Linked DNA regions of Arabidopsis thaliana. The protein of the gene in region 4 interacts with the protein of the main gene of each other region in a pairwise test. Each region holds a gene or a part of one and is shown on either strand. Other genes may lie near its edges.

The links.
Region 1: the proteins of SK13 (region 4) and AT5G45360 interact in a two-hybrid assay, tested with the Arabidopsis thaliana proteins (2 studies listed by BioGRID).
Region 2: the proteins of SK13 (region 4) and EID1 interact in a two-hybrid assay, tested with the Arabidopsis thaliana proteins (2 studies listed by BioGRID, with this or other methods).
Region 3: the proteins of SK13 (region 4) and TLP6 interact in a two-hybrid assay, tested with the Arabidopsis thaliana proteins (2 studies listed by BioGRID).

Annotation. Positions count from the first base shown.
Region 1 is NC_003076.8:18,382,173-18,390,907, forward strand, and holds AT5G45360 (F-box family protein), read right to left. Parts: upstream 4,700-8,735; 5' UTR 4,499-4,699; coding exon 4,436-4,498; intron 4,119-4,435; coding exon 3,915-4,118; intron 3,833-3,914; coding exon 3,759-3,832; intron 3,646-3,758; coding exon 3,570-3,645; intron 3,420-3,569; coding exon 3,309-3,419; intron 3,225-3,308; coding exon 3,050-3,224; intron 2,967-3,049; coding exon 2,790-2,966; intron 2,682-2,789; coding exon 2,611-2,681; 3' UTR 2,317-2,610; downstream 1-2,316. Other genes in the region: AT5G45350 (proline-rich family protein), read right to left, coding at 1-166, 388-682; UMAMIT1 (nodulin MtN21 /EamA-like transporter family protein), read left to right, coding at 6,239-6,453, 6,715-6,777, 6,864-6,980, 7,072-7,513, 7,687-7,838, 7,954-8,110.
Region 2 is NC_003075.7:1,067,607-1,075,520, reverse strand, and holds EID1 (F-box family protein), read right to left. Parts: upstream 3,041-7,914; 5' UTR 2,967-3,040; coding exon 1,956-2,966; 3' UTR 1,742-1,955; downstream 1-1,741. Other genes in the region: AT4G02450 (HSP20-like chaperones superfamily protein), read left to right, coding at 308-494, 580-736, 844-971, 1,065-1,200, 1,422-1,534; SR34b (RNA-binding (RRM/RBD/RNP motifs) family protein), read right to left, coding at 4,155-4,236, 4,635-4,864, 4,938-4,985, 5,104-5,153, 5,283-5,340, 5,429-5,475, 5,554-5,689, 5,781-5,855 and 2 more; AT4G02425 (LYR motif protein), read left to right, coding at 6,858-7,530, 7,875-7,914. UniProt on the Arabidopsis thaliana protein: Component of SCF(ASK-cullin-F-box) E3 ubiquitin ligase complexes, which may mediate the ubiquitination and subsequent proteasomal degradation of target proteins.
Region 3 is NC_003070.9:17,322,491-17,331,000, reverse strand, and holds TLP6 (tubby like protein 6), read right to left. Parts: upstream 4,446-8,510; 5' UTR 4,174-4,445; coding exon 4,153-4,173; intron 4,037-4,152; exon of another isoform or gene 3,959-4,036; coding exon 3,915-3,958; intron 3,844-3,914; coding exon 3,513-3,843; intron 3,439-3,512; coding exon 3,351-3,438; intron 3,270-3,350; coding exon 3,137-3,269; intron 3,062-3,136; coding exon 2,437-3,061; 3' UTR 2,273-2,436; downstream 1-2,272. Other genes in the region: AT1G47271 (Cystathionine beta-synthase (CBS) family protein), read right to left, coding at 658-800, 911-971, 1,067-1,140, 1,312-1,393, 1,924-2,145; AT1G47265 (uncharacterized protein), read right to left, coding at 6,203-6,433; GAMMA CA2 (gamma carbonic anhydrase 2), read left to right, coding at 7,654-7,768, 7,917-8,060, 8,321-8,446.
Region 4 is NC_003074.8:22,160,373-22,167,577, forward strand, and holds SK13 (SKP1-like 13), read right to left. Parts: upstream 3,230-7,205; 5' UTR 3,187-3,229; coding exon 2,722-3,186; 3' UTR 2,542-2,721; downstream 1-2,541. Other genes in the region: QWRF6 (QWRF motif protein (DUF566)), read left to right, coding at 558-1,409, 1,499-1,618, 1,709-1,825, 1,910-1,999, 2,093-2,200, 2,328-2,396; SK5 (SKP1-like 5), read right to left, coding at 4,472-4,933; SPL12 (squamosa promoter-binding protein-like 12), read right to left, coding at 5,484-5,915, 6,002-6,568, 6,655-6,805, 6,877-7,012, 7,094-7,205. UniProt on the Arabidopsis thaliana protein: Involved in ubiquitination and subsequent proteasomal degradation of target proteins. Together with CUL1, RBX1 and a F-box protein, it forms a SCF E3 ubiquitin ligase complex. The functional specificity of this complex depends on the type of F-box protein.

The DNA.
Region 1 (8,735 bases), on a different chromosome or scaffold from region 4:
TGCTTGAACTTACCATGACCATGACCATAGCCATAGCCATGACCATGGCCAAAACCGTGACCATATGCAGCATGTCCGTAAGGACCGTGAGAGCTATGAGCTACGTGGTGAGCTCCATAGGCAGCTGCAGCACCTGCAATCATACCCCCAATTCCTCCTGCGTGTCCTGAAACAAGTATAAATAACAGCATGAATAAAGAAACCAAAGTGACATTTAACACCAAATATGATACTAAATCTCAGATTTTAGCAATGAACATACAGACAATCACAAAACAACATATAAACAACTTCTCCTATTTTAACTTGTTTGTACAGTGACCATTACAACACTTAACTGGCAAACTACATGGGAGAAAAAAACCATTAGCAAAAGAAACACAGTACCTGAGTGATGAGCAGGATAGCCAGCAGGAGGGTAACCACCATGACCAGGTGCAGGAGGATAACCTCCATAACCAGGAGCTGGAGGATAACCACCATAACCAGGGGCGGGAGGATAACCACCAGGAGCAGGTGGGTAGGCACCCGGAGGATAACCTGCAGGCGGGTAAGCACCGGGTGGTGGAGGGTAACCTTGTTGTGGGTATCCAGCGGGTGGATAAGCCCCAGGGGGTGGGTATCCAGCGGGAGGATACCCATGAAACCCTTTGTCTTTGTCATTATCATTGTCACCTCCCATGTTTTCTCAATCAGTAACAAAACCTACGAAAAGATACCACAAGAAAACATCAATTTAGGTCACAATTGGACAAACCAAGCATGAACTTCAAGCTCAGGGGATCATGCAGGAACACCAAACTCAAGTAATGAGATAACCAAGCAATGTAATTAATCACTGATTTTGGTCAGAGATCAAATGCAGTTAATCCCAATCATATTGCACAAACCAAACATTAACTTCAAGCTTTCATCAAAGAATCAAGTACACCAGAGTCAAGTAATGAGATAAATCAATCAAACTGCACAAACCAAGCCTGAGTTTCAAACTTTCTTCAGGGAATCGAGCAGACACACCAGATGAGAAATCAGATGAACCAGCAATGTTATCACTCATTGATTAGGTCACAGATCAATCTCCAGTAAACCCAATCAAATTGCATACACCAAGCTTTAAACATCAAGCAGACACAATATAAATGAGATCAATCAATAACACATGACAGGTAAATCAAAGAACTCGAATTTAAGATCCTAAGCATAAGAAAGTTCTATACTTTATCACTCACCTCGAGAGAGCCAAACGAATGTGAACAATTAAAACCCAATTCGCTAAATAAAAAACCTCAATTCATATTTTTGTTTTGTTAAAATCGTAAATATACCCATACACATGGAGCAAAACAAACAAAAAAATCAAAAATTTCTAGGTTTTCAGCAGATCGAATCAAGAGAGAAGACAAGCTTAAAGAACACAGATCAGAAGAGCGAATCGCTGATCAAAAATTAACGATCTAAAAGAAAAAAAGATGAGTTTTTTTTTACCTTAGACGAATCGCGAAATATGTCGAAACGAAATTGGAAGAGAAAAAAATAAGACCTTATAGGTATTTATACATGTTTCTTACGCGGTACGATTTCCAAAAAAGATATATTTTTATTTTTAGTCCTTATATTTTACTATGAATCACAGGCTACACTTACGTTGTCATAATTAACAATGCTATCCAAATTTTCAGCACGAAGGACGACACATGTAACACTACCAATGTTTTGCTTATAGATTGAATATTTTCATGAATTGTTTGTTGTATTTTTTCAAATTTGGAACGGTTTTTAATTTCTCGTGGGGGTGTTTATGAAATATATTAAACTGTGGGGGCAAAGGAGAGAATTATGAGAATATTTTCCAACGTAAATATTTTAGCGTTGCGAGAACGCGCAATGGACGCGTGATTCTGTTTACGTAGGAGATAAGAATGTCTTTTAATTTGCACTTTCGCAAGAGAATCGAATCCAAAAAATTCTTATTAACATTAATTGAATTAGTACATATTTGATTTTAGGCAATGTCACATTGCCAATGTGTATTAATGAATTTATTTAATAATAATTTCATTTTTCTAGTTTTGCTTATGCTTATCTCACTAAATACTAAAATTTTCTAAATCCATTCATACTTTATACTTATCTATAAAATCAAACATTTATTAAGATTATCAATTCATTTTTCATTCAAACACATCAGTGGTGATAATTGATGTATAGTTATTAGAATATATTGCTATAAACTTCATTTTGAACTAATCATCGATTTGTCATCATAATCAGTTCTAACCAGGACAAATTTGTAATATGGTTTAAATGAACAAAGAATGGCTATAAAAATTAATGAGAAAACCAATATCGGGAGCAAATTACTAGTTACCAATAGGTTTACTGATAAAGTTGGAACGTAATTACTAGGTGTAACACTTTTTAAGGACAATGTTAATCACATACAATGATATATATGTATACGTTACAAAGCTGACTGATTAAAACAAGAGCTACATTTGATTCATTTCAACTCCACAGAACCCAGGCAGAATCAGGTCAGAGAGAGAGAGAGAGAGAAGACCTTACAGAAAGTAGGCCTTATGAAATTGGACAAAAGGTCGAGACTTTTGCTCAGCAGAACCTCAGGGTACGTTCCAGTTCCTGCTCATCATCGCAGTTGTAGCCAAGTTCAAAAGCTCGGGCTGCGATGAAAAGAAGACGCAAATAGTTCACTTATGTTGGAAAATAAAAATAATATTTGGAAAAGGAAGTGTGTGAGAGATATGAGAAAGAGATAGATAGATGTGTACCTAATCGGCTTTTATCTGTGAATACTTCAGCTTCTAGTTCAGCTTCTTCCTCATAACACCCATCTGCGTCTGGCTCAGTTTGTACAAGTAAAGTATCAGAACAAACTCCTGAGATAGTACACACCATGAGGTCACCCTCTGGACTCAGTATTACTTCCTTGCAGTTATCATCGCATACTGTTATAAAGACCATAAAAACTATGTAAGTTTAGAGTAAAACACAGTAACAAAGTTACATTTTACAGCATTTCATTACATACCATGAACATTTCCCGTCTCTTTGCATATGAACACGTCGTCAATCTGATGGTATGAACATTTGGTTCCCAAACAAATATGGCCAGTGACAGCCTTATCAGTAAGTCCTTTGCTTTTCTTCCATAGAGAAACTTGTTCAAGTACAGTATTGTCAAGAATTATCCGGTCATCCACCATCTAAAAATTGCAAACAAGAACATGAGAAAATTCTTCACGTGATGATTTGTCCTAAAACATAAACAGATAATTATAAATAGTTACCTGGGACGGAAGAGGTGCTTGGCTTCTCTTTGCTGCTTGCATATGTACGTAATACTCCTTGAAATCCGACGGACAGGTTCTGACAAGTTCAATCATGTCCTGTTCATCACGCTAAAATTCGACAAGAGAAAGGAATCACTTAAAAATATATATGATCTGACTTCTACTAGCAACGCAAACTAACACTGTATATTCTTCAGCAATGTAATACTACTTGGAAACATCTAACAAGTTTATACGAAAAACCAAGGAGAAACTCACATCAATATAAAGCTTCTTCCAAGCAGATTCACGTAACTTTCTACTTGGAAGAGTTAGACCCCACCGGATACAGTACCTGCATATAAACAAAAAACAACCAATAAGATCATCACATCGTTTTTGAATACAAAGTATTGATTTTGAAAACAAGATTATCAACGACAATAAGGGGTACAAGAAGAGGCTTACAGGCGACGCCATAAGGATTCATCAGCCGCAGCAAAATTGAGAAATTTACAAACCAAGGAGCATGATACAAGATCCTGTAATGACATTCAAACAATTTAGTTTAAAAGCAATCCTCAAACATCAATAAAGTTCGAGTTTGAACTATATAGTATATACCTCCGAAGATAAGAACTTGAGAATATGACGAAACAGCTCAGTAGGAACATTGGTGAAAACTCCACTCTCTATTCTCTTTGCATCAGTTTTATCTTTGTTACCATTTTCCTTTTGATCTTCATCCTTCTCTAGAGCCTTTGTTTCGCCTTTCTCAATACGTTGCCGTTTTGCCTCAGGTTCTTTCGTTTCTTCTTTATCCTCTACCTACAAAAACCAAAGCATCAATAAATAATCTAACCTTTCACAGGACAACGCTGAACAAGAGCAAAATCACAATGGACATCAATCGAAGAACATGAACAAAAATTATGTGATTTTTCAAAAATTTCAAATGTATGCATATAAGATCAAATTTACAGATCAAGGAACTGAAGTTATCAAAAATGAAAAAAAAAACTAGGGGAACGGGAAAATCTCGACAGAATTTCAGATTCAGCTACAAAATTCAAAGATTGATGGAGAAGAAATTACTAAACCCTAAATGAAATCGAAAATTTGAATAAACGGAGAAATTTTTATACCGATGAGACTTCTGATTCGAGGAATCGAGCGAAACACTCATCTTCCTCATCGGAAACAGACATACTTTTCAGTCGGTGAAGATCAAAGCTCCGACGACGATGGTTGCGTTTATGCGGCCAAGGAAAGGATTGGAGAGAGACAAGACTCGAGAGGGTTGGCGTTTGGAATCGGTGGCGTGAGATTGGAGACGACCTCGGGCCGAATAATTTTGATAAATGGGCTAATAACCTAAATGGGCCATATATTAATAAATAAGCCCATAACACTAACCCTCCTCCTTGTCGTTAGCGTCATTAATACAAATTAGCTTTCTAAACGTGATTAAATAACAACATTTTTCTGAATTATTATTACGAGTTAACGACGTTCGAACTACTACTATAATTAAATTTTCTTAAAACAGAACATTTGTTATTGGATCAGCAACTACTTTTTAAGGAGTTTTTTCATTTAAGGAAATGTTATATTACTAGATCCACTAATCGACATAAATAAAGGCATATTTTACCAACTTCAGTATTACACTGTAAAAATTAGGCCTGGAAGTTCGGCATAACCCGTTTAAACCGAACCGAACAAACCGACGATTTCGGTTTTCGGTTTCAAACCGATTTTCTGTTGTAAATCGTTCGGTAGAATTTTAAATTGATTTCGGTTTTCGGGTTTTTCGGTTCGGTTCATCAAAACCGATCGGTTTTGTTCGGATTGGGGAGATACCTTTTAAAACAGAAAAATCCTAGATCTATCACTTCATCTTCTTTGTTTTCTAAACTCTCCTCTTCACGAACACCTTTATTTCTCCTCATCTCTAACCCATTTTTATCTTTTAACCTTCTAATTCTTCCTTATTCCTCCTTCTTCTCCTTGTCTTCGTTCTTCTTCTCCACCTTTTAGGTTCGCAGAAATATTCTATTAAGCCACCGCGACATCGATCTTCTCTGGCAATGATTTCATGGTTCTCTACATCTTTTCTCACCACCGCACAATACAAATCTATTTTCTCTGTTTTCAATGTTCTTCTTCTTCATCTCACCCTTGTTTTTCTTTGACGGCCGTCATTTCCAAAAAATAAAACAAAACAAAACCCTAGATGGGTGTGATGGGCTTTTCTTGTCCCTGGAAAAAAAGAATTTGGGTTTTGAAAAGTTAAAAACCGTCATGGGCTTTTTGACTTTACTTGTCCCTCAAAAAAAAAGTTTTGGGTTTTTAAATGTCAAAAGCCGATATGGGCTTTAAAAACAGCCCACTATGCCTAATATTGTGATCTAAACTGATTAGGTTAACCGATTAAAAAAAATTCGGTTTAATTTCGGCGAATTATAAATCCTAGTAACCGAACCGAAAAAACCGAGTACCGAACCGAACCGAACCGAATTTTTGTTCGGTTCAATTCGGCAGAATTTTTGAAAACCGAAAAACCCGGAAAACCGAACAAACCGAACCGTTTAACCCGAGTAAACCGAATTTTTATATTACACCATTTTTTGTGGAAAATTTTCATATTTTTTAAGTAGGATATATGAGCATATTTAACAAATGTGTTAATCTGTTAGGCTTCAATGTGTATAAGATTTAAGAAAATAATCTGGCAAATTTTTTTTTGCCTCAACTTAACAAAAAATCATAGTTAACAAATTGAAGAAGACCAACGACTACAATGACCAGAGAAGTTTTTTTTTTTTTTGGAACGAAAAAACAGAGAAGTTAGAATTACAATTTACAGAGCAAATCAAAGGATCTCAATTTCTTTAGTCAACAGGTGTTCCTTCTCTTCTTCCTCGATTCGGAGGTAGAGAAGAAAAATGGCAGCTCCGGCGATCCTAAACGGCGGCGATGCGACGGAGAGAGAAACACGAATGGCTCACTCTGCAATGACATTGGTTCAGGTCATAAATGGAGGATACCATGTGGTTACGAAAGTAGCTCTTAACGTTGGTGTAAATCAGCTCGTTTTTTGTGTCTTTCGCGATCTTCTTGCTCTCTCCATTCTCGCACCTCTCGCTTTTTTCCGTGAAAGGTCCCTTTTTATCTTCTTCTCAAAATCTCTCTGTTTCTTTATCCTTTTGCTTGAATTGCTAAAGTCTCTGAAGTCTCTGTTTCTGATTGTTTTGATGAGTTTATATGCGGCAAAATCAGACAAATAGTTTGATCTCTCTGGAATTGGAATTAGGGTTGTTTTTCTTTGTTAATTCTGGTTCTATTGTTTAATGATGGATTGCAATTTTGTGTGACTTGGATTTGTCTTTTGATAAAGATTTGCTCTTTTAATTTCTTGTAGAACGATCAGACCTCCTATGAATAGAAGCATCTTCTTTTCACTCTTCTTTCTTGGTTTAGCAGGGTAAAGTAATCAGCTTGTATCTCTTTATCTTTTGAATCATGCTAATGAAAGATTCTAATAACAACATTCAATCTCAATCTTGATAGGATATTTGGGAACCAGTTACTATTTCTTATGGGTTTATCTTACACGAATCCAACTTATGCTGCTGCTATACAACCATCAATCCCTGTCTTTACATTTCTCTTGGCTGTCTTGATGGGGTGAGTATGAGTTTCCTCAACATTACTGTAAAATGTGAAAATTTGTAATATAAAGTTTCAATCTTTTGATGGTCTTCTTCTTTGTATACAGTACAGAAAAAGTGAACTTGTTGAAAGTCGAGGGCCAAACGAAAGTTGGAGGTACTCTTGTTTGTGTTTCGGGTGCTATAGCGATGGCTTTGTTTCGTGGTCCAGCCTTGTTTGGAGGTAAAGATGCAGCAGATTCAGTGAAAAGTGTAATTATTGATAGAAGTCAACCAGAGCTTAATGGGTGGTTAGTCTCTAGTTTTCTTGGTCTTGGGTTTGATCAATGGCACATTGGAGTTTTATGTTTGATTGGAAACTGTATGTGTATGGCTGCTTTTCTCGCTGTCCAAGCACCGGTTTTGAAGAAGTATCCTGCCTACCTTTCGGTTGCTGCGTATTCATACTTCTTCGGTGCATCAATAATGATCACAACAGCTATCTTGTTTGTTAGAGAGCCTAAAGATTGGAGCTTAACACAATCTGAGGTTCTTGCTGTTATATTCGCAGTAAGTTTTCACAACCGAGATGTAATATGTTTATTTGGGTGTGTTTGTGTTTTGGAGCTTGAGCTCAAATCATTTGAACTTGAACTCAAAAAGATTGGAACTCGATTCTGTACATACGGATTCATCTTACTAGTTTGTGTTTAATTGTTTTCTTTTCGGTTTTTATTCCTCAGGGAGTGTTTGCCTCAGCTCTAAACTATGGACTCTTGACTTGGTCCAATAAAATTCTTGGAGCTGCTTTGGTTTCCCTATACAATCCTCTTCAGCCTGCAACATCGGCCTTTTTATCGACAATTTTCCTCGGCAGCCCGATCTATCTTGGAAGGTTTTTAAATTTTATGCACTCTTCTTTGTATCTTTGATTCATCCAGACACATACAAACCTTTCTGTCTTCTTGTATTGGATCATATAAACACCTTGGTTTTTGTTCTCTCCGCAGCGTTTTGGGTGGAATCCTCATCATTTGCGGGCTTTATATGGTTACTTGGGCATCTTACAGAGAGCAACAAACAACATCAGCTGGGAATGAGATTGCTTCTTCTAGTGATGTAAGAATCTCGGAACCTTTCATTTACAGAGATGAGACTGGTAAATAAATAAGAAAAGGTAAAGAAAGGATACTTGTACCGTTGTACGTAGTTAATATCAGACAAAAACTTGACAAATCATACAATTTTTTCGAGTTCAAACATTGATTCTTTAAACGGTAAATAATTCAAAATAATTACTTCGCCTCTTTTTTGGTAATGCAAGTTCAACTATGGAAACAAATCTCTATTTTTATTTTAAGAATTGGTTGTTTCAATACGTTTTTTAGTTGGGTGACAAAGAAGCGTATATTTTAAATTCAATCTTAGATAAAAGGAATCAAGAACACTTAAAAAGTCATTGTACCTAAAGACAAGCACGATTAACAAAAAGGAAAACATTATATATGTCAACGGACATGTTACATACTTACATGTCAGTGTGATATAAGCTGGGAAGAAGACAACAAAAGTTTTAGCAACATATTATCTTGAATTTGTGAAGATAGTGTCTATTCCATAATTCCAACAGAGTGGTATGTCTTTGCGACATACACACATAGACGAGCTCATGAGAATCAAGAATCAATATATATTATCTATATCTAACATATTCCACGCATTTCGAGTAACCAAGATAGATGTTTTAGTAGTTATTGCCAAACTATGTGTGTGCATAAAGTATTAACAAGTA
Region 2 (7,914 bases), on a different chromosome or scaffold from region 4:
GGGGTTAGGGTTTATTGTGTTGGGTACCGGAATTTCTCTGTACATTATAGCCAGCAATTGTTTCTGAATATATCTGCATCAATCTCTTCTTGTTTAGACCTGAATCTTAGAGCAGTTGGATTTAGGGTTTAGGGTTTATGTTTGTGATAGTAATGTGATTGAAGACATATTTCTGTTAATGAAGTTTCAGTTTTCAGTGTAGAATCAAGTGACAGTTTCGTGTCTTAGGTTTTGTATACACATTTGGGTGTTTCTCTTTTGTTATGTTTTTGGTCTAAAAGGTGATTGCTTTTCATGTATTTTACAGTCGTCATCCTGAAGTGAAGTGGGCTGAGACTACCGAGAAGATTTTCCTCACTGTAGTATTAGCTGATACTAAGGATACCAAGGTTAACCTAGACCCAGAAGGAGTCTTTGATTTCTCTGCGAAAGTTGGTCCAGAAAACCACGTTTATGAGCTCAAACTGGAACTTGCCGATAAAGTCAATGTTGAGGTGAGAATTTGTAGGCTGACTTGGTCTTATTGTTTCATTTGTTACCTGTTTAGTTCTTAAATCTTTTAACCTTTTTCCCTTTTAGGAAAGCAAAATCAACATTGGAGAGAGAAGCATATTCTGCATAATTGAGAAAGCAGAGCCGGAAAGGTGGAATAAGCTACTCCGTGTGAAGAAGCCCCCACACTATGTCAAGGTTGATTGGGACAAGTGGGTTGATGAGGACGATGAAGGCAGTGCTGGTTAGCATTCATCTTAACGCTTATATTATCTGTTCTTGTGTACACTCTCTGCACTTTATATAAAGTTCAGGATGTGTTAACTTATTTGTTTTCTATGTTATGTTTAGGTGCCGCAGATATGGATATGGCAGGAATGGAAGGAATGGGAGGAATGGGAGGCATGGGCGGCATGGGAGGAATGGGTGGAATGGGAGGAATGGGTGGAATGGGAGGAATGGAAGGAATGGATTTCTCGGTTTGTTTCTAACTTTTGATTGTCCTTCATTTTGTGCTTCAGATATACCTAGCTCTGAGAAATGACCTCATACTTGATCCTTGCTTCGTGCAGAAATTAATGGGTGGAATGGGTGGAATGGGTGGAATGGGCGGACTCGAAGGGCTCGGTGGAATGGGAGGCATGGGTGGAATGGGAGGCATGGGTGGTATGGGAGGCATGGAAGAGTTTGAAGACAGTGATGATGAAGGTAATACTTTTGAAGATCTTTCTCGTTTATGTTTGGTCACAGCCTCCTTGAAATGAAAGCATTTCGCCAGAGTTGATTGACTTTGTTATTGAAGTATCTCATATTCCATATGATATGCCAAGTACTCTGTCTTAGGAAACATTTTGCAGATTTTTGTGTTTCTTTGTTCCTCAACAAAATGCAGAATTTTGAAGTAATGAAACATTTTCTGTAAATTGCAGAAGAGACAGCAAAATCAGGAGACAAGAAGGATGATGCCGTTAAGGAGGAAGGTCTTGCGACAGAGAAGGCACCAGCGGCAGAAGAAACAACATCTGTTAAGGAAGACAAGTGAAGACTCTGTTCTAGAGATGATGAAAAACCATATGGTATTATTAGCTTTTCAGGTTTATGAAACCCTCTGAATTACTTCCTCTTTTATATGAATGTTGTTGGTACTCTGTTTTCTTTCTATGGATTTGATCTTGGTTTAAGTTTCTTCTACCTTTTGTTTTGGGTTATATTGTTTCCAAATGTTCTTGGACTTGAAATTTTTGGCTTTGACGTAAGAGTTTATGCATTTGAATCGAAGTCTAATATGTTGTCAACATTGAAACAAAACAACCACAATATGTTGAGCCAATTTTCTTCAACCATTACTTAAACATTAACCAGAATTTGAAACACAATGACACTATTCCTACAAATACATCAAACAAGATTGAGACTTGAGACCGTGGAAGAAGAATGAAAGACCTGTCCTCTCTAGTGAGCTATCAAGTGTAGAGAGGTAAAGCAGTCCAAGCACCAGAGACATGACCATTCTCACAAACATAAGCTCTCACAACTGGTTCACCATCATCATGAAACCCAAACACTCTTCTCAAACAAAACGATGAATGCAAATCCCAAGTCTCATCGCACAAACAAAACGCGCATTTCAAACCCGAGGTCTTACTCCGATTACCGTCGTTTATCGTTCTCCAAACTCTAGACCTTTTGAAATCCTTGAAGACTCCTCTAAACAACATGTAATTTCGTTTCTCTTCTACGTGAATACACCCAGGCCAATTGCAAATGTAGAGACAATCACCTCGGAATCTACTCGCGAGAAGCTTGTTGCCTTGTTCACGGCTAAGGTTCCAGCCACCGGAAGCTAAATGAGATCCTAGAGATCGACAAATCTTCCTTCGTTTCCTTACCGGAAGATCTCGTCCAGGTCTGATCTCACTCGTTTCGATTTCTTCTTCTTGATCGTCGATTGAATCTTCGGGAGGAGGAGCGGGAATAGTATCTGTGTAGAGATCATCATATAGAGACCAAAACGAAGTCGTTTCTAAACCAGATCCAACTGGTTTCGAAACTTCTTCGTCGTTAAGAGCTAGATCCGTCGTAGTAGGTTTCGGATCGAGGTTTTGATCGGGACCTAGCTCACGTTCTAAACCGAAATCGGAGTTTTCGAGGAGAATTCCAGCGTGGAAGAGACCAGGACAACAAACAGCGAGTTTGTATAAAGAAGCCCAACCACCGGGAGGAGTAAGAGACGAATCCGCCGCGGTGGATGAAGAAGCGGATGCGGCGGCGGAGGGAGGAAGAGGGAGGAGATCGGAGATGACGGTGGGGATAGCGGAGTAGCACTGAGTTTTACAACAAACGTTTCGAACAATTGAGGAGAATTTGGTGCAGACGCAAGCGAGACGAGCCCAGTTTCTTGGATCATCTTGGAGCTTGAAGAAGATGTTGAAGACTACGTCTTCTGGTATACAAGAGAAGACAGATTCCGCCATGGATCGCCTTCTTCTCTCTAGGCGGCTCCTTTCTTATCCAAATTCACTTATACTGTTATGGGTCCGGTACGCGTAAACCGGGAATAGTCTTAACTGTTCTTAAGGTGGGTCACAGATTCACTAACACCCACACAAAGGCAAGTAAGTAATGCGCAACAGCTCTCGAAAATGACATCGTACGGACTGAACTAAAATGTAAAGGGTCCGGGTATCAAAATGAGTTCAATGCACATGTCTTTTTAGGTTCATTTATTGTGAACGTTTTCAAAATTTTAATATCGAATTGTGAGCTTTTGAATTAAGTTTGGTATTCGACAGTAATTTTTGATAGTTCGTTTTAAGCACTAACTATATTAGCAAGTCATATAAATCAGCTGAGCTTAGCTCATAAACTGATGATGACTGAGTATATATCATTCCCATGTGCAAACCCAAGCTAATAAGAATGAAATACACAACTAGTTTTTCAACTTCTCATACATAAGAGAGATCATCTTTATGAGAATCTTCCAACAGACCCAGCTTTTTACCTGATATGAGATGTTTCTTTACCTGTAAAACAGTTGGAAAGAGATTCAGAGAAAGAGTGAGAATGTTCCAAGCAAGTTAAAAAGAGTGTGCATTACCGAGATGGACTCCTGCTTCTGCTCTTGCTCCTACCACGGATAGGGCTCAGCTGCTTGCTAGGGCTCTTACTTGCTTCCTTCTGAACCTGCAACACACACAATTCAATCCAGATGATGAGAATGTAATTAGCTAGACATAGATCATGTCTTTTGGATAGTATGGATTGAAAACCGAAAATATTGTGCTGATAGTATAGCGGAGTAAAAAGTGTATTAGAGATAGATGACTTAGAGAGGGTAGAGGAGATCTTGACCTTGAACGAGATCTGCAAAAGTCCGAGAAACAAATCCAGTTTTAAAAATCCAATATTTCCGTGTTTAATAGCTGTTTCACCAAGACCCTTGATGCCTCATTCCATGTCAGACATCAAAACACAATCACAAGAAGCAAAAAAGAAAAAAACATATCTTCAGACTATTTCTAGCAGAAAATCAAACCAACACAAGCCTGCTTTTCGTTAAAACAGATGGTAGAGATGGAGAATATCAAAGCAAATCTAATTCTATCAAACCCTGTGTCCAGAACAGCATCGGTTCCATGAGAATCCAGATCGCTTGTCGATTAGCAGGTAATGAAAATATCTGTCCTAGCTCGATGGGTCCATTTTGATGACACTATATCAATGCGATCCAATGTCTCTCCACTGTTACCCATCTAGCAGCAATGGATATTATCAGAAAACGAACTTGCCCATCTAAGAAAGAGCATATACCTCTGAGACGAAACAGTTGTGTACAACCAACCAAGACATCCATGATCCAGATACTATTTCCCATATTTTAGTTGATTGTATGTATATCCATATCTAAGAAACAAAACCATTCTCAACACTATAATTATAAAAGACCAGACTTTCAAAGGAAATAAATCGTGTACCCTTAACTAGAAGCAATCATCATTCTCAATCAACAACTCGGAGTCATCCCAGTGACATCTTTTAATGTGATGTCACCAAACTTCAAGGGAAGAGCTAAATAGAGCCTATGTTATGTTTTATGTTGGATATTTTAGCATAAACATTATAGAAGAAATGAAGCATACCCTCGTGGAGACAGTGACCTCGACTTAGAGCGGGAGCGAGAGCGAGGAGATCTCGATGTAGATTTTGCAGGCGATCTACGCAAAGATTTAGCCTTTGGACTTCTGCTCTTGCTCCTGCTTCTGCTGCGGCTACGACTACGGCTGGGACTCCGTCCACGGCTGCGGCTCTTAGAATAGGATCTTCCACGGCTGGGGCTCCTCGAATCCCTCCTTGAATCATATTCTCTAACCTGTAATGACATAGGGAAATGTTAAGTGCAATAAAAACGAATGCAGCTCTCAGAATTCTTGTCTTTAACATACCCGAACATATTCATGAGAAAACGCATTCCGAAACTCTGTGTCATCGAGCTTTTTTTATCTGGACAAAATAAAGAATATAATCATGAGTAATCAAGGATGAACACATTCTCAGCCACAGTCCCACACAGAAAATCAAATAATATGAAGAGGAAGAAAAACATCTCACCGCATATTTCATGTCCTCGTAGCTGGTATAATCTACAATTCCAGTTGTACCTGTAAATAAATAGTCCACGATATAGATTTTTTAAAGCATGCACAGACTAGTTAAAACAGGATTTAAAGGCAGAAAACCCAAACAGCTTTAGACACATCTCTATTCTTGGGTAAGACATGAGGATTTACCTCTACCATCACGAAACACTTGAGAAAAACAAACTTCTCCTCCTTTACGCATGTGATCCTTCAAAACAAAGTGATATGTCAACATTCAGAAATCGTAGAAAATATAGGAACGACAATGAGGAATCTGTCCACAACTGTGTAATCACCTTGAGGTCTTGCCAGGACGCAGATGAAGGCAAACCTGACACTACAACTGTATAGTGGAAAATCTTAATTTAGTGATTTCTCCTAAAACTTATGAATACACTAAAGCTAAACATATCATATGTACCGCGGTACTCTGATCTCCTAGATGGTCCACGTTCACGACCACCACCGTCACCACCACCACGACCGCCACGACCACGACCACTATAACTACCGCGTGCATCATGTGATGAACGCCTCCCACCATGAGCTAGTTCCACCTGCAATGGCCAACACACATAAATTATGTTTGGCTACCAGTCAACAATACAAAGTTTGTGTAAAAATTCTGAAATTTGATGATTAACAAACCCGTAAATGATGCCCATCAAAGTCATAACCATCACGGCCATAAATTGCATCATCAGCATCACGAGCATCCTCAAACTAAATCACATATATCACAAAACATTAGTGGTAGTATCTCCCAACATTTGAAAACTCATGAACACTCAACAACAACGAAGAGCCTAACTGTAAAATCAACAACAAGCCTTTATAAAACATGTGGTTGCATAAAAAATCTGACCTCGACGAATGCATAGCCTGGAGGCCTCGGCGGAATCTTCAAATCGATTTGAACAACAGGTCCATACTTCAAAAAAAATAAGGAAGAACAATTCTTAAGGAAACTTCTTCCAAATAAAATCAGAATCCAACAATTCCGAAGATGCATTCAATTTCTTTCACATGCAAATCTTGTAAAGACATATTCATCACATAACACAAAATTCGATCCTGAGTTCTGAGTTCTTAAATTAGGAGAAACGAGTAATTTACCTTACTGAACAAGTCTTCAACTTCTCTTTCACGGATATCGCCGGGAAGGTTCCCGACGTAAATCGTTCTACTCGAACGGCTGCTCATTTATTTCTTTCCTATACCAAAATCAAAATTGAGATTCGAAACGTCAATAGATCGAAACAAAGAAGCGATCACACACAAAAAAAACTCATTGGATAACGATTAACCTAAGGAAAACTAAAGAGGTTTGATTGATCGTCTATATATGAACTAAAATTCCAGTAACGATTCCGATCACCTGAGAGAAAATTCCGATGGAAGAGAAGAAGAAAGGCGAAAATTGAAATCTGACTAGGGCTTTCGAATACCATAGAGATCATCACGTGAGTCACGTGACCGACCGGGTACGTATTAAAATACATTGTGTCTTGACCGTATAAAATACATTTGACCCGTTTTGCAACAAATCGTAATCTTCAATCAAAAGCTCTTAAACCCAAAAGAACAACTCCAAATCTTCACTACTCGATATTCTCAAAGAACTTGAAAACAACACAGATCCATTCCCAATTTCAGATTCACTCAAAAGGATTTTTCTTTTTTCATTTTCGCTTTTTGTGATCTGGAAAGTTGTTACCTTTAACAATGTCTCCGAAACATCTAGAGTCATCACGAAGCTCTATTGAATCATGCACTTCACAGCTTCTCTCATGGCGACCATTTCACCGCTCCAAAACCCTAGACTCATCTGACCAACCACCGCAGACCAATGGGTTTCACTCCTTTACTCCCAAACGCCCTTGCTTCTCCGATCGATCCACTTCTTTCACCATCGAAGCTATGAGCCGTCTCTCACTCGCCGACGACGACAATGGAGGGAAGACATTATCAGCTTCCAATTACAGCAATAGAGGAAGTTTCAGGTTAGTAGCGAGGAAGCGGCGGCGGCGTAATTCGAGATCGGTGTCTGGTCGGAGTAGTGATCGGAGTGGGACTCGGAGATGTTGCTCCATTGGTGCTCATGGGACTTGTTCGGATTTGCCTTTCGCTGTTGGTACAGATTCAAGTGGAGAGCTTTTTGGTGAAGCGAATTGGGCTTCTGATGTGAGTGAGGCGGCGAGGAATTCACGGAGAGAGCGGCGAGATTCTGGTGGAGAGAAGGAAGCTTCTGGTGGATTTGGATTTGCTAATGGAGTTGATCCAATGGGGAATGAATCTGGGTATGGGAGTGAGCCTGGTTACAGAGGTGATGCTGAGTTTGGCTATGGTGATGAATTTGATGATGAAGAAGAAGATGTCAAGCCATTGTTTTGGGGAGGTATTAAATTCAGAGACTTTTTATAGCAATTGTGTTCCATCTTGAGATTCGTGGTTTTTGCTATGAAGATTTGGAGATTGATCATCATTGATTAGATTAAAGATGACAACTTTAGTGTTATTTCTTCTGATGAAAATGAGTCTGATTTTGCTCTGCTTGTCTATTATGGCATTGCCTCATAGGAATTGTCAGAAAGTTGTCAAATTTGGGTTAGGGAATGAAATAATGATTGTACATTGTGGAATTGGGTTCTTATCATGTTAGGTCATTGTCTGAAATGGATATGTATGTACTTGGTATTTTGATATGTTTAGTGATTGGTGAGTGTTTTGGATTTGGAGCAGATACAGATTCAACAATGGGGATGTCTGGTGAGACGAAATT
Region 3 (8,510 bases), on a different chromosome or scaffold from region 4:
TGGGCAAATCAAAAATCGCAGAATCGAAGCAAAACGAACAAACACAAAATCTAATCAGAGAGAAATGGGGAACGAAGCACTTACAAAGATTTCTGAGAGACGACGAGACGAGAGAAATGGTGAATCGCAGATTGAGAAACGAGAGAGAGAAGCTTCGAAATTACAAAACCCTTAGACCCAACAAAAAAAATAATAATATTAAACCCTATTATTATTAAAGCCCATTGGGCTTTGAGCCCAGTAAAGAATCCGATCATTGAAAATACTTTTCTAGTATTCTTTGGTTTTGGTTAGAATCATTCATCAATCATCACACTTAAAAGGTGACAGGATGAATTATCTACAAGATCATTAGAACTTTTTTTAGTCCCTAAAAGGTGATTAGTAAGATAATTATGGTTTTTAGTAGACTATCGAATCGACAATACTATTTGATATTCTAAATTAAAGTTTCATAAATATGTTCTGACTCTAAAAATGTTTTTAAGCGCTAAATGTTTTTATGCTAAGTGCTAACTTCTTATAGTCGTAATCGGCTTATGCTCATAATCACTTAGACTAGGGAATCTGTTAAAATAATTAGTCCTTTATTAACTGTATTTACATAGTTATTGATAGTATGTATTATTGAAGCTTTGCTTCTTCTAGGGTTCTAAACTAGTAATAGTCTCCTTTGATGAATTCATTCAAACGTTTGAGCTCTCCATTTTGATGGTCCACAATGGCTTTAACCACATCAACCATAGAGATCAGTCCCACTATCTTTCCGTCAATCACCGGTACATGCCTTATGTGATTCTCTACATCATTTAAAAAAAACACAATTTTCTTTTGTCAATTTCAAAACATAATTTACAATTTGGATTAGATATATATATATATATATATGTAAGTATATATAGTAAATTACCTGACATAAGCTGCATTGCTTTGATTATGTTTGTCCCAGATGAAACAGTAACCAACTTGCTCTGGCCAAAATCATTTCCAATTCTTTTACTTAAAATTACGAAAATTTACAAAATGAAAAATTAACTTGAGAGTTTTATCTTTTGTTTATTCTGACCTCGTCTGTCATAACTTCTCCAACTTTTGTAAGCTTTGATGATCTTCCTGCCCCAATGATCTTTTTCATATAGTCTGTTTCATTTTGTGATGATAATTAGTCACAAAATGAAGAACCCTTCTTAATAAATTGTGTGTTTTAACTGTTAACTACAACATTCAAGGTATTGGGTGATCATATTCATAACTCCTTTTTTTTGGTATTTTTCCGTAGAAAGAACATTATTAAAGAAAGCTTATATATACCTCTCTCTGTGACAATTCCTGCTATATATTGTTGGTCTCCAGGTTCTAACACGACCAACGATCCAATATTATGCTTTGCCATCTGTTTTTTGTTTTTAACACGACCAACGAGATTAGTGGTCTACGCATATATCTTATATATGCATGACAAATTGACATAATATACAAATATGTGTGCTTTACTTATTATACATAAAATAGAAATATATCTCGAAAACATTGGTCTGATTTACAATTTGACATATACATACGTGTATACATGACACATTGACATAAACTACATATAGGTATTATATTGCACCGAATGTGGAAATTAATCACGTCTTATTTTATTAGCTGGGACATAGAACAACGTGGAGTAGGCAACGAACCTAACATTAATAAGTAAATAAAATAGTTCTTGTATGAGTTTTTAGTTCGAGATTTATAGACTTATGGCAGCTTAAATGTCCAAAGGTAAAGAATTGTACCCCAAAAACATATTAAGCTAACTAATGCCATAAAATTGATACATTGTTTTAAAAATCTCGTTTTCATGGGTACTAATTGATGCGTGTGTAACGTGATGAGCAAACAATAAAAACGGAGAAAAAGAAAGAAGTTTGAACGAACATTTTTAACAGCGTCAGAAACAGTGTCATTCGTACGGCACGAGATCCACGTATCAATGTCAGTATCCTTCGTGGAGAGCACATCCGCCACCGTCAGATTCTCCAACCCTTTCTCCGGCGGCGGAGGCGAAGTTAAGCAACCAAAACCGGCCGATACCTTCCTCTGATGAATCTTTGGGACCTCATTAGCTCTTGCTAATAGTCCTCTCACAAAAGCTTTCATTATATAATCTTATTAGGTTCAAAATTGTACTTTTTGCAAAAATAAATGAAACAGAGATTGGGTTTTGTAATAAAGGAAAGGTGATGACTCTTTGCTTCCAATGAAAGACTAAAACATACCTTACCTTAACCAAACGTTAATTACTTTTAATTAAAAAATTAAGAAGAAATTAAAGTTTTTAGAATGAAAAAAAAGATCTGATTGTTTGATTGCTCCAAGAGGGAAAAGTATGTACATTAAACCACACAAACTGCAAATAGAAGAATATAATTTGATATGATATGTTTTGCTTCATTCGCAGACTGGCTTCGTGTCGAAGCTGCTTAAACAAATAGCAAAAGCTTGGAATGCAGAGATCGGGTAACGATAATCCATTGTGAAAATGTCTTTGCCTATCTTCCCAAACTGTAATATCACTCTATCTTGTTCCTCTTCTGGTATGTTCATGTTCTTCCCTGCTTCTGCAGCAGCTGCCACTAGCTGGAAGTTTTTCACCGAGGCGACTGTGACTCGACCTTTGAAGTTTAGACACCAGCACTGAAGCTGTTCGTGCCATCTCGGCGACTTGTTTTTCAGAATTAATGGTTCTTTTATAACGGATTCTCCTCCCAGGTTCCCTGAGCAGAAATCCATCAGCGGCTTCTTCTTCTTCTTTCCTTGGTTTGTGAACTCCGTTGGCGACTGGATTTTGCCGCCTTCTTGAATCGCTGAAATCGGGATACTGTGCATTATACATTGCATTCTTCTTGGACCTCTGGTTCTCAGAACATTCAGCTCATACAAGATTGAAGCTATGTTGTAACTACTAGATGACGACGATACCCATGGAGACACTTGCATCGATGGTGGGAGCTTTCGGTTAAACGGAGGAGGTTGGTTTTCGTAGACTGTGAACTTCGTTCCCAGGAAATTTGATCTGTCCACCACACACAACAAGACTTATAATAGATGGGCATGGTGATCATATAGAACAAAAAGAAGAAGACTTTACCTCAGTTTTCCTATGTAATTACTACTACTTCTCGAGAAGTCATTCCCCGATAACGATACAACAAACTCCGCACCCGTCGCTCTCCTGACTCTCTTTGCAGATAACAACAACTTACTCTTGTCACCGGAAAGAGCTATAAGAAGACGAATGTGATATATAAAACAGTCCAAACTCAATTCATAAGAGGTTCTTAAGGTGAACTAGTAAAACTAACCAGGGCTTAAACCAAGATAGAGACGGTATATCCCCGTAGCTCTTTCACGTTTAATAAAGCATTGAATTGGAGCATCTCTAGGTCCAGGCTAAGCCAAACAAAACCAATGTTTTAGACACAATGATAATCGATTATAAGACAAACTGGTCAAGAGTAACAAACCTGTCTTAAAGAAATCGGAAACGTGATCAAACCAGAGAGCTCAGGAACTTTAACAACTTCTTTAGTCATCTCCCTCCATGACTTACAAACCGAAGCACAAGCAACAACATCTCTCCTCCCCGGCCATAAACTCTGTTCAGACTCAATCCTTTGGATTATATCAAGAAGTAACTCTGGAGGCAAATCAACCCAAATACTCTGGTTTAAACCTTCATTAGTTGATAAAGAAGAAGACACAGATGATCCTTCTGGTGCAATGTGTGACCTCCCTCTTCTACCAATAGCTTTGTATTTGTTCTTCACTATGTTCTTCAATGACATTGCTACTCTGCTACAAACAAAACTATTATAATTTCTGTAATTGAGAGTTTGAGAGACCAAATCAAAAACCCTAATTTGTACCTGATTTTATCTGCTCCCCCAGAAATTTCCCAGCTCCGTTTTGGCTGATGATGAACAAAGTAAATCAACAGAAATGTCTCAGTATTCACCAAAGAGAAACTTTATTCATTGGAGAAAGCAAAATCATGAAAAGAGCATGGATCCGGCTTCTCCGGCAATATCGTGAAGAGTTCGAGAAAGTTTTAAATAAACAAAACATCGAGAAACGAGAAAGAGAGGAAGAGAGAATTATTGTTACCAACAAAAGCGACAAATCCATGGGGAAGCACAATTATATTTCTGCAGATGAGATAAGTTTTTGGATTCTTCTTCTTCCGATGAAGACGAAGAAGAAGAAGAAAAATTCAGCGAGGAATTTGAAATTAAAAGCCTTCTCTTCTCGAAAATGTTAAGTTAAATGAACCACCAACACCAACACCTCTCCGATGCCGTTACTGTCGCCGTCGTGAGCTTCGATTCCGAAGAGGAGAGGAAGGAGGAAGACGACAGTAACCGCAATGATTTCGAGGAGGAAGAAGAAAAAGAGAAGACAGATGGGTTTTTTTCTTTTAATTAGTAAAACGGAAAAAGACTAAGCGCGGCTCATGTTTTTCAATTGAAATTAGTAAATTACTCAAAATAGGATTTTTTTTTTGTAAAACTATTTATTAGCTGATAATTTTTGCTTTTTTGAGAGTTAATTACAACTGGATTTTTTTAAAATTTTATTAATTGGCACGAAATATGATATTTGAAGGTGTATTTTAAATTTTTAGTAAATTTACAAAGAAATTAATAATAAGAAATATTACGTATCAGGTTATTTTATTGTGTATGTTAAATTGAATTATATGTAACTAAGTAAATACAAGAATTTGATGTTGTTTTTTTTTTTGCCAAAAGGTGTTGTTATTTATATGAAATATTGTACAAACATCCATGATACAGAGATGATATTACACATTACAAAGACGTCTATATAAAAAGATTGAACATGAACTTTTAAAAGACTGAATCAAGGTTCATGTACAAAACAGAAGGATCAGGATGCTAGAAGATCAACTACCAAAGGAGAAGGTAGAAGCCCTGGCAGCAGTGTTGAAAGACAAACATCTTGACTTCTCAATAAGAACAGGAAACGAAAACTAAGTTTCGCATCTGAACTTATAGCTTCCATCTTATGCTTATGTCAAGAGAGCTTCTTACTTACCAACGTATCAACCAACCATAAGTAGTAGTAGAAGATTGAAACCGTCCTATAAACCCTTCAAGTTTATACCCATCAAACTGCAACACTTAAAACTAAAAAGGACAGTAACTCGAAACAATCCAAGATAGATTGTTCAGCCAAAAGCAGTAAACACTAAAAGGAGTTATGATTCCTAAGCAGCTATAGACATTCCAAAAAAACAAACCTTACCCCAAAAAGTTGAATTCACAGAGTATAAGGGTAGATTATACTCACATTTGTAGACACAATTTTTCGAGATCTTATCCTCACAATGAAAACAAAAAAACTCATAGCATACTCTAAGTATCATGCAAATATTTTATTAGTCGGTGGCATCAAACCACCTAAGGCTCAAAATATCCCCTCTAGTAACCAACTTTCGTTACAAATTTCAGGATTAAGGCTCCAACTCGGAAAGAGCATATTCGATGTTCTCTTCAGCTCGCGACACATATATCGATTCCACCTCACAAATCACTCAAACCGAGCTCATCTCATGATGCATAAGTTGGGTTTACTTCGCAATCACTTGAACTAAGTCCTTCTCACGGCGTATTTGTCAGGTCACCTCGCAACTACTTAATCCAAATTCATATCCAACAGCATTACAAGAATATTAGTCTTCAAGCAAATAACCTTACTCAAAGAACTCAAGCTTATGTTGATACCGGATCGCGCACGACAAATCCATCTTACGCATCCAAGTTCCATCACTTTACAGAGCAAAGAATGTACATCTTGCATAAGAAAGGTGGTTAAATCTTGATATTAATTTGTGATTAAATTTATGAATTAATGGTCATGGTTTAAGGAGTAAACTTGCCATTCAAGTTTACGAATTAATTATGAGAGTTATTTTATGAGCTAGATATGTACCTAATGGCCAAATAAAGATACATAGGAGGAAGGAAAAGACTATAAAGAGAGGTGGAGACCCTAAGAAAAGAGACTCCATCTTTTTTTTTGTAAAATGGTTTTCAATGTTATAAATAAGGTCCAATGGACTATTTCCGGATTTAGGCTCATACATTTTCCCTTAGACTCAATCCACTTACATATAACCAGACTAAACCATCTATTACAAAACCGATCTAAACCGAAAGTTGAAAATCCTAATCTCATATCGTAAAACACGATCTGAGCCGCCGTCCAAGAATTGCAGAATCTCACCGGAACAGAAACCCTTTGGGGAGCCTAGACGAGATTCGTCGAACGGAGATGGTAATTCAGGATCCGTTGTCCTCCTGCCACCGTAGAGCAGTTTTGAGGAGGAAGAGGCGATCCGGGTTGCCATAGTCATGAATCTCATAGCTCAGTCGAGAGAGTTGACGGCAGTAGTGAGTAGATCTCAAGACCATCGACGGTGGTAAAGCCTCACCGAAGCGGAGTCGACCTCCCCCATCAAGCGGCGACCCAATGAAACCTCCAGAATCTTTAGACTTCCGACCTAACCGCCGTCAGCCCTTGTTCTTCACTGTGAAGTCTCATCCTTCCTCTCCGTGAAGCCACACCACCGATATAGCTCTTACCGACAGTGTCTCGCATAATCTTCTCCCCTCCACCAGGGCCAACTCAATATATTCTCTGTCACTGTACAAATTTTCAAATTTAGCCCTTTTATACTAAATATTTTGAGTTTGGCCCTTACATTTAGTTAAAATTTTATTATGGCCCTCAGATTTAGTCAAAATTATCTTTTTGACCTCAAATTTGATAAATTTTTTTATTTTACCCTTTAATTTTGATCAAATAATTTTTGGATCCTGTGCAATTGCTCCTCTTGCACTCCCCTAATGCCGCATTTGCCCTCCACTGCTCCCTTGATTTTGAATAGATTGAATTGCCGAGAAGATGTAGCGGATCACGGTTGAAGCACCATGTCCCAATGGGTTTCTTCGTCGCTGGAGTCAACGAAAAAACTTATTGACGGAACAAGAGATTGTGATTATAAGAAGAAAAAAATTTGAGAGAGAAATCGCCCACGCGTAAATATCACTTGCCCGACTTCTTTCTAGTATAACTCCAAGAAAAACACCCAAGAAACTCCATCTTCTACATTCTTGACCCCATTTTAGATACAAACAATGTTTTTTCCAATCCTTATACTAAAAACTATTTCTTTGCTTTATGCAATACTTCCAATATCCAATGCACAATATAAGCTAATATCTCTATTTTTATCTCTTTATTTTCTTTGCTAAATTATATTAATTATTTTACTCATTTTTGTGTTTGTCTCCTGAAAGCTTTGTTCCATCTCCTTACATTGCAAAACGAATCTATCCGGATTTTGTATTCACAATCTCTGTAAGTCCAACCAATAAATTTCGGTTTGGTTTAGCTTACCAGTTACCACTCCATACTCTAAAAATTTAGAGGTCAACAAAATAAACGAACTCACTCGAGTTAAAAAAAAAAATCCTCCCATCAATACGCCTCCATAAACCTCTCTCTATCTGGTGGAGCGACACCAAAAACAACAAAGCCTTCTCATTTTCACACTTTGGGTAATCGGAGAATCACAAAAAAATGGGAACCCTAGGACGAGCAATTTACACTGTGGGTAACTGGATTCGTGGAACTGGTCAAGCTCTTGATCGCGTTGGTTCTCTTCTTCAAGGAAGTCACCGTATCGAGGAACATCGTAAGCTTCCAGATCCTTCCACTTAATACTCTCTATTGAAACCCTAGATCCAATTCGTTATCTCTAATTTGTGTCTTCACCTTTGATTGGAGAAATTTGTGGCTTAGATTGAAAAAATTTGATTCGAGAAATTTGTGTTTGTTTTCAGTGTCGAGGCATCGGACGTTGATGAATGTGTTTGATAAATCACCATTGGTGGATAAAGATGTGTTTGTGGCTCCGAGTGCTTCTGTTATTGGTGATGTTCAGATCGGAAAAGGCTCGTCGATTTGGTATGGCTGTGTTCTTCGAGGTGAGGCTTTATTACTTCTAGAAAGTCTTAATGGCCTTTGGTTCGATAGAAGTACCAAATTTTGCAGCAGTATATTGTGCAAAGTAGTCATAGTTTAGTTTTAGGAAATGAAGTTCTCTTTACCTTCTAATAATCTTGTATCGCTGTTATACGTTACTGTCCTGATCATTGGACATAGATTTATTGTACTGTCGATAAAATGTGTCATGAAGTAGCTGTGAAACTTATTGTATGTTAATCTGGGTTTCTAACTTGTGCAGGTGATGTGAATAACATCAGTGTTGGATCTGGGACGAATATCCAAGATAATACGCTTGTACATGTTGCAAAGACCAACATAAGTGGCAAGGTTCTACCTACTCTGATTGGGGACAATGTAACAGTAGGTAAACCTTAAAAAGCGATTTATCAGTTTTGAAGTATCTGTTTTTATGTTGTGTTACACGATTG
Region 4 (7,205 bases):
GTTCTGAAATCTACAGAATTGTTTGTTACTCTTCTCAGTCACATTATCACATCACGCAACAAAACCAAACCAATAAAAAAAAAACAAATTAGTCTTCTTCAAAAACAAAAAAAAACAAAAAAAAAAACTGAGATCTTCAAAATCGTTCAACAAACAGCCTTTTCATTGCCTTCGAAATCTTCACCCGACACATAAAACATAAATATAGTAACCAGTTGCAACAATTTCATCTCTACAAACTCTTTGAAATTCCTGTTCATTGTCTTCAAAGAACGTGTTCAATGTACTATAACAAGTTTCTTAAGAGCTTGGTTTTCTATTACACTAATTGACAAATTAATTAATTTAATAACTATGAAAAAACAAAATTAATGTGGCGTTACAGAGACAAAGAGATTGTGACCAAAAGCCAACGGCTCATTTTCTCAAAAAAAAAAAAACCGTAACGTATCTTCTTCTCCGAGTGTTGGCTTAAATTCAAAAATCCAATTATAATCTCTTGAAGACCGTGACGAATCCTCGTGGCCACTTGAATCTCCGACTATTTCGAAAAAGTTATGGAGGCGAAAACCAGCGGACCTAAGCAAATTCAGCCATCAACACCGGCTCCTCCGCCTTCAACGCGGCGGCCAAGAGTTAGAGAAGTAAGTTCCAGATTCATGTCTCCGGTTACTTCATCCTCTTCCTCCGCCGGAGATCTCCACTCTTTGACTTGTAATTCTCCAAAGCAGCACCACCTTCAACACCACCAGATTCAACGCTCTGTTTCTGCTCAGAGACTTAGACGTCAGTTAAAAATGGCAGACGGAGATGAGAATCGCTCATCAGAGACGGCGGCGCGTAGCCTAGACTCGCCTTTTACACTCTCACAAAGCCGAAAATCATCGAAACCAAGTCACTTGAAGCCGCTCAACGAGAATTCTCACCGGCTCGAAACTCCTACACCAATGGTTCCTCCTCCACCGTCTAGATCACGGCTAAGCCAACAAAGATTACCAACTGCAACGAGACTTCTCCAACTAAGCGGCATATCAGCCTGTTATGAGAAAGAAGGAATCATCAACATTCAGGAGAAACCTAAATCTAACGGCTCAGATCAGTTTCCAACACTTTCTTGTAGAACTCATCTTAAAGTTTTCAACAATCCTGTACCTTCTTCTCTTAATCGATCTGTGAGTTCACCATCTTCAAGCTGTAACGTTCGTGAGAGCAGTTCGTTTTCACGTTTAGGCTTGCCATTGCCTCCAATGGCACCCAAGGTTCCAGCGGATACTAAAAAACAGAGGAAGGTTACAGAGCAATTGGAAGATGTGCATTCTCTGAAACTGCTCCACAATCGTTACCTCCAATGGAGATTTGCAAACGCCAATGCACAAGTGAAGACTCAAACTCATAAAACACAAACTGAGGTTAATTTCTCTGATGGTCTGCTTTTATGGTAAAATCTTTGAACTAAAGGTTCTGTTTATGTTTAATGGTGTTTTGTTTTATCTTGTAGACCATGATCCATTCCTTTGGTTCCAAGATATCAGAATTACATGATTCTGTGCAAAGGAAACGCATAGAGCTTCAACGTTTATTGAAAACTAAAGCTCTTCTCGCGATTACAGAATCTCAAGTAAGCTTAAAGATACTTTAAACTTCCATATTATTGACTCTCACATAAACGTATATGAGACTTATGAGAAAATGTTTCACATTATTTCAGACTCCATGTTTGGAGCAATGGTCTGCTATTGAAGAAGAGTATTCGACTTCGGTGTCACAAACAATCCAAGCTTTTTCCAATGCTTCATTACGGCTTCCACTCGATGGGGATATCATGGTATCTTGTGCTCATGAGTAATATCAACTAGGAAGAATCATCTGCATGTACGTATCAACTAAGAGTTTGCTTGTCAAAAACCAGGTTGATTCTAAACAGTTAGGAGATGGACTTGTGGCTGCTTCAAAGATTGTTGACGGCATTACACAAAATGTTGGAAACTATATGCCAAAGGTTAGTAGAAGAATAGTATCAATGTCAGGGTTTTATTATTTCTATTGAAGATTGACTGTATATCAGAATCCTTGTTGATAATACATTTTGCAGGCAAAGGAGATGGAGAGTTTGTTGTCAGAATTAACAAGAGTGGCTAGAAGTGAAAGATCATTGACAGAAAATTGCGTTGTGGCTCTTCTTAAAACGCAAGCTTCACAAGTACTCAACCTTTCTTTACATAAGTTGAGAATATTTTAAACTTTTATGATCATCGTGCATCCTTTTTTTTTCCTTTGTATAAGAGTTTTAAAAGATCTTTATATATATATATATATATGTTTTGCAGATTGAAGAATGTTCTATGAGAAGTCAACTTATCCAGCAAACAACAAAAGAAGAGTCATCTTCTAAATGAGCACAACTCTTGTTCTACTGAAAGAGATTTATATCGAATGAGTGTAGCATTAAAATCGATTATAGATTATACAGAAATAAAATAAAAAGACTTTTTGACAACATCGTTCTTAAAAATTGCTCAAGCATATAAATCTCCAAAGGAATTAGAAAAGACAATAACGAAGTCACATTGATCAAGAAAACACACATACACACAAGAGAAGAAAGAACAAAAGACACTGTTCAAGAGATCGGAAACAAACTAAAGAAAAAAGAACACGAGACATTGATCTTGATAAAGAAGATCAGAAAGCACACTAACGTCGAAAAAGAAAACTAAAGAATCATTCAAAAGCCCATTGATTCTCCTTACGAATCTCCTCTTCCTCCTCCGGTGTAAAATCGTTCTCGATGCCAAGAAGTGCACGAATCTCGTCTGGTTTCTTGCCAGTGATCATGTCAGCAACAGTTTGGCAACCAAGGTCAAGCAGGTCTTTTATGTTTAGGTAATTCGCAGCCAGCATAACATCAAAGAGAGTCGACGACTGTTCCAGGGCCTTCATGAACTCAGCGTCCCACTTCTTGAGTTCGTCTTTGCTCTCTTCGGTTGGTGAATCAGAAACGACGTGTTTCTTGCAATACTCGATCACCTTCGAGAGGATGACTCCTGTAACGTTTGCGATAGGGACTCCATTGGCGACGCAATCGTCTTCAATCATATGTGCTATCGTCTGTGACTGGACCGCGACTGCTTCTTCGACCTGGAAAGATTCACCATCGGAGCTCAGCAACATAACCATCTTCGACATCGTTTCCTTCTTTTTTCTTTTTGTGGTGGCGATTTTTGTTTACAAGGTTTTCGATGATGGAGAGATATCAAAAGGTGTGTATTTATAGAGAGACCTAATTGTGAGAGTCGGTATAATTCTTGCCTTTTTTCATAATGGATGAAATTACTATTTTAACCTAAAAGGAAAATTCAGTTGAGTAAACCAATCCTAAACCGGGTTTTTGATGGATCTAGTCCCAATTGATCTAATTTCGGTACAAAAAGGAAATCAGATCCGAATCTACGTGTCATAATGAACGGCTCTAATTCAATACAATTGTAACAAGAGTTTAACGAGTGAACCAACAAAAAAGAGGTAAAAAGAAAAAAAAATGGAAACTTTCTAAAACGTTACATGTGTATATTCCATATTTTAAAAAACTCCGAAAGCAAGAAAAATATCTACAAATTTTGTTTATGTCATTCAAAACAAAAGAAAAGAAGAAAAGTAATTATGGTCACGTAAATTTATCATGTGTTCCCTCTTGATATAGCCAAATTTTAATAAATCCAAACCATATCTGCCTCTGTTTAATACCATAATGATTGCATTTTGCACCTCATATCGAATCATCCCATATTTTTTTCTTCATTAAATCCACCAAATTGTTTCTTTAGACTCGAATTTTATATAGTTGTAGGCTTGAGTAGAGGTTATAACCCAAATCAAATTTGATGATAATCTCAAAAGTAGCAAACGTTTACCTTATTCTTAAGAGAAAATGAAAAGAAAACCCCTGCTTTGTCGCAAAGAGAACAAAAACTTTACAGAGTAAAACTTTCACACTATTTTTATTTTTTGATTGTTCAATCTTGACCATTTACATCGGTCTGATTACGATACAAGAATATAAACCAAAATAACCAAGTTGAATATCGAAATTGAAGTGTCATGTACTCTGTTTCGGATTAGAAAACTCAATTACAGTAAGAAAATGAGAAAAAGATTTGACTTCACATATATTCAAGAATTGCTTCAGAAACAAAAGAAAGACTCTTAACAACATCGATCTTAAGATTTGGTTAGCATACCAAAATCCAACAAACGATTCGTCTCTAAAGCAAAGATACAAACATTGGTTGACTTGCACACCAAGAAATCAAAAGAAACACACCGAACAAACAAGAGATAGACGAAGTCTTAGTCATCAATCTACATGAAGCATAAAGAAAACTGAAAACACACACACACTAAAGAAGAAAACGATATAGACGAAGTCACCAGCTACGTAGATTTGCATCAACAACTTTGATGATCCGCTCTCTCATTGAAAAGCCCATTGATTCTCCTCACGAATCTTAGCTACTTCCTCTGCTGTTAGATCGTTCTCGATGTTGAAGTGCGCGCGAATCTCATCTGGAGTTTTCCCTGAGAGCAAATCAGCCTGGAGCAAATCCGAGACAGTTTTACATGTGAGATCAAGAAGGCTTTGAATATTGAGATAATTCGCAGCCATCATAACATCAAAGAGAATGGTTGTTTCGATCGTCTTCATGAAATCAGCGTCCCACTCCTTGAGATCTTCTTCTTCTTTGCTCTTGACGTGCTTCTCGCAATAATCGATCACAATCTTGAGAATCTTGCTTGTGACGTTTCGAAGCGGTATTACATCAGTGGCGCAGCCGTCCTCAACCATATGGTTTATCGCGATTGATTTGCGTGCCACGTCTTCGTCGATCTCGAACGATTTACCATCGGAGCTCTTCAACATGATCTTCGTCGACATTGTTATGGAGCGATTTTTCTCTGGAAAGCAAGGTTGATGAAACAAGATTGAAGAAGAATTTAGAGAGCGATTTGAAGAAAAATGATGTAACGAACTTATGAATCTATGCGTCTGTGTATTTATAAGCTCCAACTGTCAGAGTCGGTGGGATCAACATTTTCAGTGGAGTAAACCAAGCTGAACCGGGTCGAATTTTACAATTGGCCCAGTTTCGTAGATTCGGCCCAAAACTTGATCGAGATGGATTAAATGTCAAAAGAAAAAAAGGATTTGGTTGGTGTTTTATGTGATTTGTTGTTATTCTCACTCACTTCAAGATTTGCCATCAAAGACAAAGTACAAAATGTAACAAACACACAAAAACGTAGTTATACAAATTCGGGGGTTTAACATCAGATAAAGCTACATTACATATAATCTTGTAAAGCTGAATGATACATATTCTAGTAAAAATAATTAAACGTTACATAAAATTACACTCGTAGATTTCACACCAACACATCTTCTATTGAGAAGATTCTTTTTCAATGTCTGGTATAGGGAAGTTTTACTAGCTTGTTCCATACTCAAGTAATTCCCACCTGAATGGCTGAAAGACATATAGCACTTCCGGGCAACTCTTGAACAAAAGAGCGACACAAACGCAAACCGCTGCTATCGCTACCATCGAAAGCATTGCTGGCCTGTAGGCAACAGACTTGTGGTGCGTTGTGACAAACACACGTTTGTGATCACAGAGCTTACATTGGTTTATCTGTGTTATCTCCAAGCTTGAAGAATCCATTGGACTCCTCTTTTCTTGTTTGTGCTCAATGTTGAAAGACTCAGGAATGTTGACCACCACGTGTTCTTTGGCGATTGGTTTCCGACTGAGTTTCCGTTGCACCAGATGAATATACGAGAAGTGACCTCGTAAACGTGCATAGTCTTCTGGTGTGAATCCGGTATTGTCCCGGGAATTTTTCCAGGCTTGAATACCAGTCTGAACCAAACAAGAAGATTTTTTATCAGACAAAAACAGATTTTGAGTTTATATAAGTCAAAGAGGGAAATCAAATTCAAATTTACCATTCCAGGATCCTCAGTCAGGGCATCCAACACATCTTCTGAACCGTCTTTACCAGCTGCAATGTGAAGCGGTGTTAAACCGCCTGGACCAGCTGCATCGGGTCTAAACAAACCGGCTAATGTCTGATTCTTCTTCTTGGGACTGAATCTAAGAAGCATCTCAACCATGGGTTTTGAATTTTTCCTCACGGCTCTGTGAAGAAGACACAGTTCTGATAACGCAGCATCAGGAGATGGATCAACAGTGCCTTCTTCGAATAGAATATTCAATAACTTCTTCATCACACAGCACCATTCCCGGTCCATTGAGAACTCTATTAGAAACTTAAACCGTATTAAAGAAAACAGATCCTCTGGATTATGATCTGATGCTGCAAGTCTTGACTTGAGTTCACTTCTGTGTAGAAGCCAACCGATTTCGTGGATGAAATCCATTGCTTGCATTGCAGAATCAGTTCCAGTAAACTCTAATGTGCTTTCGAGTCTTCGGATTTCAGAACAAATATCTTCGTCTTCAGATACTATGAAAGGGAAGAAACTACTGCTTAGCCCACCTTGGTCTTCAATCTAGATTATTGGCCAGCAAAAATCTCACGTTTAGATATCACTGCAACAACAGGAAACGCAGAGCACGAAACTGAAAGTACACTTACTTCCATGAAACCTCGACCACTTGCAATAGGCATCTCACAGGAAAAATTGACAAAATCAATCTCATTATTCTCCTTTAGATCATCTCTCTCCTCCATCCCTCCTTGTGTTGCTTCCTGAACCAAGTGTGTTCCTTCAACAGTACAAAGTAACCTGTAAAAATGGCGATTAGCATCAACAGAAAAGATATGGAGGGTCAAGCTTCAACGAGTATATAAACATACCTTGTGCCAGGTCGACGGAGATTGATGCCTTTTACTGTAAATTGAGCTTTCTTTGTTACAGCAAGTGGTCTAACAGTAATGATTTGGCTATAATCATGGCTTCTCAGAGGTAAAGATGTGTCAAGAACAACCTGACCTGCACCATGATATAAGAAGAATACTCAGATCTCAAGAAAAAATATGGACACTCATAAATCTAAAGATTCTCAAAACTAACCATTAAACGCAAATGCGAGTTGGTTTTGCACCCTAAGATAAAGCCACCCATCAGTCCATAAAGGATCATCTGAAAGATCTAGAAGCCTCCTCAAGCTGAAACTCAGATCACA